Coturnix japonica: one gene and its partners. The protein of the gene in region 1 interacts with the protein of each later gene in a pairwise test. Links are inferred from orthologs where the notes say so. Each region holds a gene or a part of one and is shown in the gene's direction. Other genes may lie near its edges.

What was found.
Region 2: the proteins of SH3GL2 (region 1) and EGFL6 interact in a two-hybrid assay, tested with the Homo sapiens proteins (2 studies listed by BioGRID and IntAct). The link is inferred for Coturnix japonica from reciprocal best matches to the Homo sapiens genes SH3GL2 and EGFL6.
Region 3: the proteins of SH3GL2 (region 1) and ATXN2 interact in binary tests that used the Homo sapiens proteins (3 or more experiments, as listed by UniProt). The link is inferred for Coturnix japonica from reciprocal best matches to the Homo sapiens genes SH3GL2 and ATXN2.

The regions. Positions count from the first base shown.
Region 1 is NC_029547.1:29,706,980-29,711,235, forward strand, and holds the start of SH3GL2 (endophilin-A1), read left to right. Parts: upstream 1-1,330; 5' UTR 1,331-1,476; coding exon 1,477-1,521; intron 1,522-4,256. UniProt on the Homo sapiens protein: Implicated in synaptic vesicle endocytosis. May recruit other proteins to membranes with high curvature. Required for BDNF-dependent dendrite outgrowth.
Region 2 is NC_029516.1:110,857,695-110,861,346, reverse strand, and holds part of EGFL6 (epidermal growth factor-like protein 6), read left to right. Parts: intron 1-1,491; coding exon 1,492-1,821; intron 1,822-3,652.
Region 3 is NC_029530.1:5,325,846-5,329,497, reverse strand, and holds part of ATXN2 (ataxin-2), read left to right. Parts: intron 1-716; coding exon 717-808; intron 809-3,234; coding exon 3,235-3,432; intron 3,433-3,652. UniProt on the Homo sapiens protein: Involved in EGFR trafficking, acting as negative regulator of endocytic EGFR internalization at the plasma membrane.

The DNA.
Region 1 (4,256 bases):
GGGATCTTCTATGATTCCATGACTAGCACAAGAAACTTCCTTCCACTCCATATCATCTCAGTGTTCATCCTCTAAGCTAATACTAAAACTAAAATGAATGGATGTGTTCTGATGTTGGTGCAGGACTAGATCGGAAACAAATGCCTCCTACTGTGCCCACGAGGAAGCCATTATGCTCTTCCAGTCTGCTCCCCACAAGCAGAGAGATGTTCTTTGCCACTCTCCATGCTGAGCAACGCTGGTGATACTTCTGAAAGCACCAATGTGATTTGCATTCACAGTCCTTTCTCCTGCTGCAGTCCCTTTCAGAACTGTGCTTCAAAGTTGGGTGCTGTGATGTCACCACTGACCCATACTTGATGATCTTCGAGGTCTTTTCCAACCTGGGTAATTCTATGATTCTATACCTCATGGTATGAGGTGATATGTGGGCCCTCACAGTGCCTGTTTTCTTTAAGTGCACCAAGCATGTGTGCTACACCACAGTAAGTCCACATGCAGATTAAAAACAGCTCCAGGTATCTCTCAGAATGTTTCCATCCCATCTCCTGTGATCTGTGCTACCTAGCTGCTGTGGGATGTTAGTGGGGATGGATCTGCCAGCGCAGCATGGCTGCTTTCAGCAGATGCAAGCTTTCATCCCAGCTGCGCTGAGATGCAGCACACATCCACAGCGACTGGCCCAGCCTGCAGAGAAGAGCTGTTACATTTGGGTCACACTGCTTGCATTGTTTAGGCTTTTCCTGGCAGAGCCTCATAATTACTGCTAATTACTGTTCTGCTAGTGTTTATAGCACATCTGACCAAATTGCTAAAGCACACATTATTGACATTTATTTGGGTTTGAGGCTCTTTACCTTCAAGCCAACAGCCACACCAGTGTGCCAGCAGTGGGGCAGGCTGTATGTTTGGCTGCCCGTGTGTCACTGGCATTGCAAGGGGAGAAGAACACACATACTGAGGGCCAACAAGGAGGCAGAGCTGGCATCATCCCACTGAGACCAGCTAGGCCTGAAGAAACGGCATGCCGACACCCGCATCCCCCGGCCCCAGGTCTATCTGTCCATCACTGCCCACCGTCCCAGTCGAGGCGGGTTGAACGGCGTCCCCGTGGGGCTGCACGGGATGAGGTCCACACTGCTCAGGAGGGACCGTCGGCAGTGGCCCTTAGGATGCCGGCGGGGTCCCGCAGCGCCGCCTCCGCCCGCGCCAAGGCTGCTCTCGTTCAGCGCCGCCGGGGCCGGGGGCGAGGCGGGGGCGGCCCGGGGCTGCGCGGGGAGGCGGTGCGGCCAGCCCTGACGTCAGGGCCCCCCCGCAGCGCGGCCGCCGCCTGACACCTCCCATCGCCGGGCGTGCGGGGCTGCGAGCAGCGGGCAGCGGCAGCAGCAGCTCCTCGGCGGCGGGACCAGCCCCATCGCTCCTCGGCGCCGCTCGGTTCCGCTCGGCTCCTCTCGTCTGCATCGCACCGCCCTCGCCATGTCGGTGGCCGGGCTCAAGAAGCAGTTCCATAAAGCGACCCAGGTACCGCCTCGGTCCCCCCCGCGCCGCTGGGGCCGTGCGCGGGTGCGTGGAGCGCGGCAGCGTGGCGCAGTCCGATGCGCGGCGCTGGACTCAGTCCGGCTGCCCAGCCCGCATCCGATTGCACGGGCGCTCGTGGGCTGCGCGTGTGCATGGGTGCGCGTGGTGTGAGTGTGCACGGGTGCGTGCGTGCACGGGTGTGCGTGGTGTGTGTGTGTGCGCGGTGCGTGAGAATACACGGGCATGAATGAGAGCACCGCAGGCTGCTCCGCCGCCCCAGCCGCACCGGGTGCCGGTCTCGCAGGGACTGACTGGCGCAGCGGCTGCTGGGGCAGGTGCCCGCGTGGGCGTCGGACCCGTTCTGCGGTCTGTGCACTGGTTCTCCATCAGAACGGTTTTAGGTTGGCTTTCTGAATCAGACCTTTTAAATTATTTTTAAACCCCCCCCCCAACTACCCTCCCTTCACCACCCCCCAACCCACTTAGGTTACAGACAAAATCTGAATAATGAGATTTGGTCGTGTTGCTTTAGGCATGGTGTGTTATTGCAAGGAGGTCAGGGTGGGTGTTTCACCCGGCTGCGATTTGTTTCATAATGCAGAGTCTGTATGTTGTAGTCTGTAAGGGTACAGTTCCTGAATTGGGCTCAGACTTGGTGTGTTCTGGGGATGAATCCAAAATGGTTTTGTAGAAGCCTGGGAAATTTATCTGAATTTACAGACTGTAGTCCAAGTCTTGCGTGAAGCTCCATTATTTTCTTTGCAAGTGAGCACAGAACTCCTGGTAATTTTCACTGACTGTCATTACATCTTCAGGTAGCAGTGTATGTTGCTGTAAGCAGCCCCTAGGTGCAGACTTGCAGATACAGCAGCCATTAGGCTTTTCAACACCTACGCTTTTTCCTTTCTCATCCATCTCTTCTCTTTCATCTCATCTGTTGCTGCAATGTGGAGAGATGCACCTAAAGGAATGAACCCTTACACAAGAATTAGTCCCAACTTTAGTTCTTGCTGTCTTTGCAATTATACCATACCCATTCTGACTAGAAATGCGGTGGGATGTGCCAAGTCCTCCACAGGCCCGTGCAGGAGCAGGGTGACATTGTGTCTCACCTTTCATAACAAATTACATTGCATCATTGGTAAAACAGACTTCACAGAAACCTGCTGTTCTCATGACAGATGCAGTAAGGAGTTTTTAAGTGTGCCTGAGCCCATACTGTAGTGTCCATCTGCTGCTGCTACTTCATTTTATCACTCTCTGCTACCTATATCAAGCCCAGAAATCATCACTGCTATTTGAGTTCTCACACTGATAAGTAAGAATTGCAGGATCTGTGTCATCCAGAGTTAAGAAATAGGCAATCTGAAGTTTACTTTCTAGTAGCGTGCCTCAGTTCACCATTATTGTAAGTTAATGAATGTGCCTCTGCAGCAGCAGGGTGCACATCCCTTTTAGAGGGAGAATGGTCTGTGAGTGCTGTTCTGTCCTTCAGATGACATGCTCACATGGACTGTCAGCAGTATTGCCATGTAGAAGGAAAGAAAAGTTTTAGCTGGCTGGAGCCAAAATAGTATATTGCTGATGCCAGATTTAGCAGCCTGCTATCAAATGACCCAGGGATTTTTGGGCCCAGCCGTGACTTTCACAGACTGTTTGTATGCAGGGCATGAAGACACATTCATGTATGAGAATGACTCACAAGTAGGTTGCAAGACAGATCTGTTTATTGGCTTGTTTTAAGCATGAGTGAGAAATCCAGGCCTTGGTTGTGCTGTCCTTACCCCTGGGAGAATCCTTCTGATAATGGATTGATCCCCAGGCAGAGTATGGATAGGCATTGCCACTGTGAATGGAGATTCCCAGATGGGATGAAACAAACTGGAAGTTTTAAAGACTCTGAATCTTTCCCATCATTCTTAGACATGTAAGAACTTGTGTATGATGCACAGTTGTACTGCAGTCCTAAGTCACACCTGTAACAATTTCAAGTTATTTCTGATGCTCCTTTTAATTCAGTAAAGCATTTGGAAGTCTTTGGCTTAGTTTCTTTCATCCTTTTATGTTGTAAAATTAGTAGTCCTTTTACACACGAGTGCATTGTGAGTATACAATGTTATTATTACAGAATACTCTTTCAGTTGTGAAAGATTTGTCTCACTATTTAAATGTTAAAAAAATGCTATTTCGGCAATAAGTCCCTGGCAGAAATTGAAATAGTATGACTCCTATGTCTAGATTGTTTAATTGCTAAGCAAGTGTTTTGATTTTATATATATATATATAAATACATATTTGACTTGTGAAAGGTCAGGCTCACCTGCATTAAATAATGCCACTTCACAACAGAAATCATATTGAAGACCTTAATGTCTGTCAAATTCCTTGCACTAACTGCTTCAGGAGTACATCATTGGGAAGCAGGTGGTAGCTTTGCTCCATATGGAGTGAATGGCATATTCACCCCATTTGGATTTTAGACAAAAAAAAACATGGATGGTTTTACCTCTGTGAAACATCATAAAGTTTAGAACAAATATTCCTGAGTTTGTGAAAACAAAAGTGAGTCTGTAATCATAAAATTCCTTCAAAATTACAAGAAATGAGGCTGACAAATGTTGAAGTACAGAACAGGCTACATTACACATTTATGTGTATTACCCACAGAGCATCTAAGGAAGAAATAGAACCACATTTATGTATTAACTGTGCTGCTGCAAGTCTGTTGGACATCCTTG
Region 2 (3,652 bases), on another chromosome or scaffold:
TTCATTAAGTGGTGGTTTTCTTCTTTTCTCTTTACTTATGTGAAAAGAAACATACAGAAAAAAGTAACAGTGAATCATAGACTATCCCAAGCTGGAAGAGACCCATGATGATCATTGAGTTGATCTCCTGGCTCCACACGGGACCACCCAAAAGGAGCCCTTTGCACTGCTTCTGGGTTTCATTGGTGCTGGAAAATCAATTCTGCCTCCCTGCATCAATGGAATTGTATCTTCAAATGGGGTTCTATTAAAAATAGTCCCTCATTCAAGCATCCCAACATAGTTTGATGACTGTGGAGAGAATAATTGAATTTGAAAAGAAACAAAAGGCTTTTGTCTTGAGACACAATATATTAAGAAAAAAAGCATAATGTGAAAATCATGGCTGCTAAGTAAATAGAAAAATGTCCTCTTATCGCTAAGTGTTCTGAAGTTTTCTGTCTGGTTGTAGACAATATTTGACTTCATTATGCTCTATTATGGATCAAAAAATGGGGAAAACCCACACATTCAGATTTATGTCTTTTATTTTACAGATTTGAACAATCTTGGTTGACTTTTACTCCACTCGAAGTTTTTCAGTTCTGACCTATGTGTTTCTGAGCAGGATCAGAAGTTGCAAGCTACCACAAGGCTAGATATCGTTTTAGTATTTGTCAGTCAAAAGGAATCATAAAATAGTAAAAATCTTAGGAAATTGTGTATTTATGTTCTAGTCCAAGTTGCAATTTCAAGATAATATTTTGGAATTCTTGGGTACCTCTCTGAAGTTTTAGTGTTTTATCCTTTAGAACTAAATGAGATGTGATGTATTGGCTTGATATATCTCACCTCAAAATATGCTTTATTTCAGTGTTTTTCAGCCTGCAGTAAAAGGGATGTTAGGACAGAGTTCACAAAAGATGTCTAAGGAAAATTCTCACTGCTAGTAGGATGACATTTGTTTTGTAGGGAGTCACATTGTGGACAATTTTTAGTAGTCCACAAAATGACGGAAGTTATTTTTTCCCTCCGATCTCTTGTATATAAATGTTGAATATAAGCAGCTGTGTGGCCTATGTTACACATGAGGCCAGCTGAGGTTGTAAGAGAGGGTCAATTTTGTGTTTTCACTATAACTCACAGTAAATTCTTTACTAGGAGAGTGGTGAGGTGATGGCACAGCTGCCCAGGGAAGCTGCGGATGCCCCATTCCTGGAGGCACTCAAGGCCGAGTTGAGTAACCCAGTCTAATGTATCAAAGGAGCTAGAATTAAATGGTCTTTAAAGCTTTTTTACAACCCATACCATTTTGTCCTTCTACAGTTCTAAACCAGAAAGCTGTCTGTACAGCAGAGGTAAAAGCATACATAGTACAGTACAGAGGTGAACTTATGTCTCATGGTAGAGAATTTAGGTGTATGAGTCTCTGGGTATTATCAAGGGCATTTATAAACATGTTTGCTGAATGATTCATTAGGTGAATATTTACTATTTTCTTCTGGTTTCTAGCTGTCCCTGAAAAATCAGTGAAGGAAATTCCAAGAATCCCCGGAACAGCTAAGGACACGATTAAGAAACTTATTGCACATAAAAGCAGTGTGACAAAGCATAAAGCAATCAAGAATGTGATCCCAGAAGCAGCCATGACACCAGCTTCTAAGACCCACTTGCAGTCATTGGACTACGAAGGCGGTTTTGATCTTGGTGGGAGTTACACTGTGGGAGAGAAAAAAACTGAAGTTACCATAGAAGAGGAAGTTGATGAGACAAGTGAGGAAGAGAAGGAAGATTATGAGAATCAGATTGACCATGAGCAAAGCCTTAGAGGAGATGTCTTCTGTAAGTTTCTCAGTGTTTATGCTAGTTTCAGTTTAAGTATATATATAAACATGAACAAAACAGTCACCAGACATTATAGCTGTTCTATCCTAATTTACTTGTAGGAACTGAATATCAATCTAGTATACCTACTGTGGGATTAGAGCTAGTGAATCTGCCTTTTAGAGGAAACTGTCTGCAGTCAATGTTTACAGAAGAGAGTGTGTCATCCTGGCAGGCACTCTATTCTGCCACCTGTTCTTTCACGGCAGCTTACATATAGCTTTTTCCCCATTTTCTTCACAGAAGCTCCAACAAAACAGGATATTTTGCTGTTTCGTTATGCTTAAAACAAGAACTAGCTTTGATTTGTGATAGACATATTTATCACTCAAATAGTGTGTATTGTTCATAGGAAAAACATTCACTTCAGTGTCTTTGTGTTTCAAATGATACAAAACATACAATAGGTGTCACTATTTTTTTTTGTGTCATTCCATCAGAAAAATAATGTTGTGAATCACAGAGGGTTTTTATCTCTTTTGTTTAGATGAGAGAGGTTATCTGAATGGGCACTCTCTTTCTTTGATGGTATTTGAGCATGCATCCTATGTATCTCTCTTAATATCTGACATTAGCCTCTTATCAGGAAGATTGACATATATTTTCTCAGTTGGATTTCATGTTTCCTTTTAATTGCTATCTTGTATGATATTCTTTGTATGATATAAGAAGAGTATTTTGTAAACCACAAAGCTGGCCAAAATTTGATGCAGGAATACAGGTGAAATATGTATCCTCAAAAATACTTATAATTTGATAGATAGGCCTCAGGCAATCTCCTGATTAGCAGTTCAGCAATTATAATTCTATGATTTTTTTCTGTTCTTTCAACATTGCATTGCAGTGTAGTACCAAAAACAGTGCTATCTAGTGTGATGAGATCTGCATTCTAACCTCCAGGCTGTACTCAGTCTTGATGTCTTATGAAAGGTTTCTGGCTGATGGTGCCATGACTCCAAATCTGATGATCCTATATCCAGGGCACCACTCTTGCTCTGGCCAGCCACACCACATACACCCTACCTCCTTACCCATCCTTCCACTCTTGGCAAGTTTATGCAGCTTTCTATCCAGCTTCTGAAGATCCCTTCATAAATAATGTCCCCAAAAAAGGTAGCAGGGGCAGAAGATGAAGTCAAGTTGGAGCTGAATTTTTCACTGGGTAGCAATCTACTCTTGGACCAGCCTCATCATACTGGTACTGCCAAATGCATGTGAGAGGTTCAGACAAAAGAATTAGATGTCTTACCTCCATTGTCTCAAAAGAAGCAATAAAGCCTGGATCTTAACTAAATTAACTCAATACGAATAAATAATATTGTTGTAAGTTACTGATACTTTTATTCAGTACTCGGTGCCATAAAGGAATGTGGGCTATTTCACTTCCTCAGGCAAAGCAACCTGATGAAAATATCATCAAGTCAGCCCTCGTATCTCTTTCTGCCTTTCTGTGATAGATGGATTGGTGGGCTGAGGGAAGCAACTCAGATATTACATACTTGGAAAGTCCTGAAAAAATTACCAGACTTTGAGAACCTGAGTATGGTTTGGTATTTTTTTCTAAGTATTTTTTGAATACTCGCTGCCACACTGTGTGGAACGGATTCATTTCCAAGTTGCCAATGTGACTGAAGACATATCAGGAAAATCCGTTGTCCACAGCGTAATTAAAGTCAAAATAATACATAAGAGAGTTCTGTGATGATCACAGAATCACAGAATTGTAGGGGTTGGAAGGGACCTCTAGAGATCATCGAGTCCAACCCCCCTGCCAAAGCAGGCTCCCTAC
Region 3 (3,652 bases), on another chromosome or scaffold:
GTTAGATGAAGAGTATGTTCTTAAATTGAGCTTCTTTGTATATCATAGCAGTTAGCTTTCACTCAACCATGCATTCTTCTTAGCAAGGTATTTGCTGCAGTGTGTTAAAGGCAAGAATGGAGTCAAGTTATGGTGGGGAATCTTAACTTTGTCTTGGTGGAACAGTTCCCCTGTCAGTTTTGGTGTATGTACTGTACAGCTGAGATTTGTTGGAGTACTTAATACTGTCAGTGCTTTCATGAAACTTTCAAAGCATTTGTGAAGGCTAAAGCCTTGAGTGCTGTAATAACATACTTCATAAAGTTGGGAAGTTGCCCTGATCACCAGGGGTCTTCTGCCTGCAGCATGTATCTCAGATAATAATGCTTTTGGGAAGTATCAGTGCTTGTCATAGCAAGGGCCGCTCCTAACGTTCAGAATTGTGTAGTGCTTGTTAGCCATTAACTAGTCCAGTATGGGCATGGTGCTTTAAAAAACAGAAACCAACCAACCACACAACAAAAAAGAAACCAACGTGGCTTTTCAGGATAAAGTACATACATCTGATGAACAAAGACCCCTGAAATAAACTGTGGCTCTGCTAGCTTTCTGATATAAACAGTGAGTTTGTAAGCCAAGGCAAAAGAGCAAAAGGTTTGACTCCTATTACCAGCCCTTGGCTTTAAGGGAATGTGTTTCCAATGACATCTTGAAAAACACGCATCATTTTCTTCTAGTCTAACGGATGGGATCCCAACGACATGTTTCGTTACAATGAAGAAAATTATGGTGTAATATCAACATATGACAGCAGTTTATCTTCTTATACGTAAGTTCCAAAATATTTTCTTATTAGATTTGTATTTAATGTTGTCCCTGGTGTGACAAAATTCGTATTCTCAAGATAAGTTTATATACTTTCTAAGGTTGTGGAATCAAATAACTGAAAAAAAAAAAAAAAGATAATAATGGATGAATTGTGCTTAAGAAACCTTGCCAGATTTCTGTGAATAGTTTGTGTAGCAATCTGTATATATTCCCTTAAATGGGCACAGTTCATTCCCATTGCAACATTTTCTGAATTTAGGCGTGCAATAATGCTTAATTCTTAGAAAAACTTTTACAAGTAGAGTGAAAAATACAAACTGTGAAACTATAATGTCTCTTTATGTAGCTGCCATATGTGTAGTTTGTGTTTAACCCAGCAGAACAGTCTGATTAAATCCTAATTTTATTGTGATTATTCATAATGTAGGTATTGGAGTATTGAAACGCTGCTGATATTTCAAGGGGGTTTGTACTGTGGATAACTTGTTTAACAGGCTTGTGCAGACCTGAAGTTTTAGTTACAATATAACAACAACTTGAGTATAGAAGAAGAAGTATGAAGTCTGCTGTGCTTACTTTGGCAGCCTGGACTCATTCCCAGTAGTCTGCAGCTATAGTGTTCGTGCAGCTACAACACAAACTGGTTGCAGATGTTGAACAGCCATCGTGAAATGTCTTTATTTTCCCACTCATTTTACCCACAAAGTTTAAAACTTGGTTGTGAATGTTCAGGAATTGCAGTGATTATTTTAATTTTCTTTTTTCTTTTTTTTTTGTCTGCACATCCCTTGTTCAACATTTTCTTTCTATTGCCACGTTATAGATGTATTTTAACAAAAGCTTAATTGGCTTATGTCTGCATCCTAGGGAAGCTATTCCTAGAGCAGTGAAGTATTCCAAAGTACTCTTTGTACTTCTGAACTTTAGTCTGTGATCTTTCTGTTTTATGGGTATAAATGAACACAAATTAAGAACATGAAGGTGGCTTTAAATTGCTGAAGACAAATTCCATTATTTGCTAGTCAAGGAACTTGCTTTGCATTTTGTTGCTTTAGCTGGGACACTTTATTCTGATTTTCCAAGCATATGATGAGCAGTGGTCCAGCTAAATGCTTACCTGTGCACTTGAGGGGGATTGTACAGGGTTTACTGTTCATTTTATCTTCCCAGAGCTAAGCATTAGCAGGTATAGTTTGTCAGTTTGCATAAGGGCACAAGCTTTGTCCTAGCAAGTGCACTCCTTGGCTGTGTTGATGGCTGCTGTGCTCACACGTATCTTATTTGTGAGCCAGAGCTTTGTGCAGGAGGCCATGCTTTCTCTTTCATCCTCTCAGTCACCATTGATAATGGCAGCAGCTGGCCAAAACTGTGTGTGAGGAGGGGAGACTTTTGCTGTAGTAGCAGAGCTACATGGTACAATTTGGCAAAGCCATTTGCTTTCATAGCCCTGCCACCAATACTTGAGTAATCTTGCATATATTATTTCTTTCTTGGGCTGTCTTTCCAACTACATCCTTTGTTATTTGTTTGTATTATCCCAAATGTGTGCAGTACTGATTATCTAATACCAAAGATTGCATTGTCAGAGTCTCATCTCTACATAGCTTATTCTAAAGTAAAGTCAATGAAGAAAGTTATTTCATAAAACCTGACACAAAAATTAGAACAGGTGAAAAACAGCAATGACAGATGGACAGGAGGAAGTGTCAGCTCAGTTGTGTTGTCCTTCTGTAGTTCATTATTTTAGTAATTCATTGCTCGTGTATCGAGTGGCTTTCCCAAAAGGGTTACGTTTGCTTGCTGCAGTGTGGTATTACCTAATATCATAATACATAGAATGAATGGTTTTGAGGTTCCAGGACATGGCAATTGAGTCTTGGGTTTCTGGTCTAAAGTACTGCATTCATCTTTTCTGCAGTTACTATCACTGGAAGAACTGAAATTCCGTGACTGGAATTATCAGAGGATTAAGTTTGTAACTCTTAACTTCAGTAGTGCTGGGGACTCTTACATCTATTGTGAATGTGTAAATTGCTAAAGAAATTCAAATTTGGTCTCTTGAATTACCTTCCTATCTAAATAATGGGCTAAGGCCTTTTTGTTGCTAATGTGCTCAACCCTGTTAAAAGTTGAAGACTTTGCATAGCTTTAGGGACTGGGGAGTCTGCCAGTCATATGGTAAAGCTGTGCATCCTGACCTCGGTTCTCTAGGCAGGTAAATGGCACTGGTACATAATGTCAAACCAGTGCAGGAATATTGCTAATATAGCAAATAAACTGTCTTAAAAGCATTTTTTTTGTGTGTGTTTTCTTTCTTTTTTTCTTATTTTTAATTTGACCCGTCTAGAATTAATTCTATATAATTTTGTATGTTCTTTGTACTTTTGAATTCATTTCAGATGTTCTTTTTCTTCCATTGTTTTTCAGGGTGCCATTAGAAAGAGATAATTCAGAAGAGTTTTTGAAACGGGAAGCCAGAGCAACTCAATTAGCAGAGGAAATTGAATCAAGTGCCCAATACAAAGCTCGGGTTGCCTTGGAAAATGATGAAAGAAGTGAAGAAGAAAAATATACTGCTGTTCAGAGAAATGCTAATGAGCGAGAAGGTCATGGTGTGAACACTAGGTACTTGCATACACTGTGAATAGTATTTTTATTTAAATGATGTACATATTTTGTTACAGTAGCAATTTACTCATTGAAACTGTGCTTTTTCAGTGGGGCTGATTAGGTTAGGAATCTTGTGTAAACAGTCACTTGCTGGTTTTGGCACTCGTGCTGACTTGTACACCTCTGCTTGGCCCTGTATTATCTGTAATGAAACAGACTTGTCCATTCTGATATT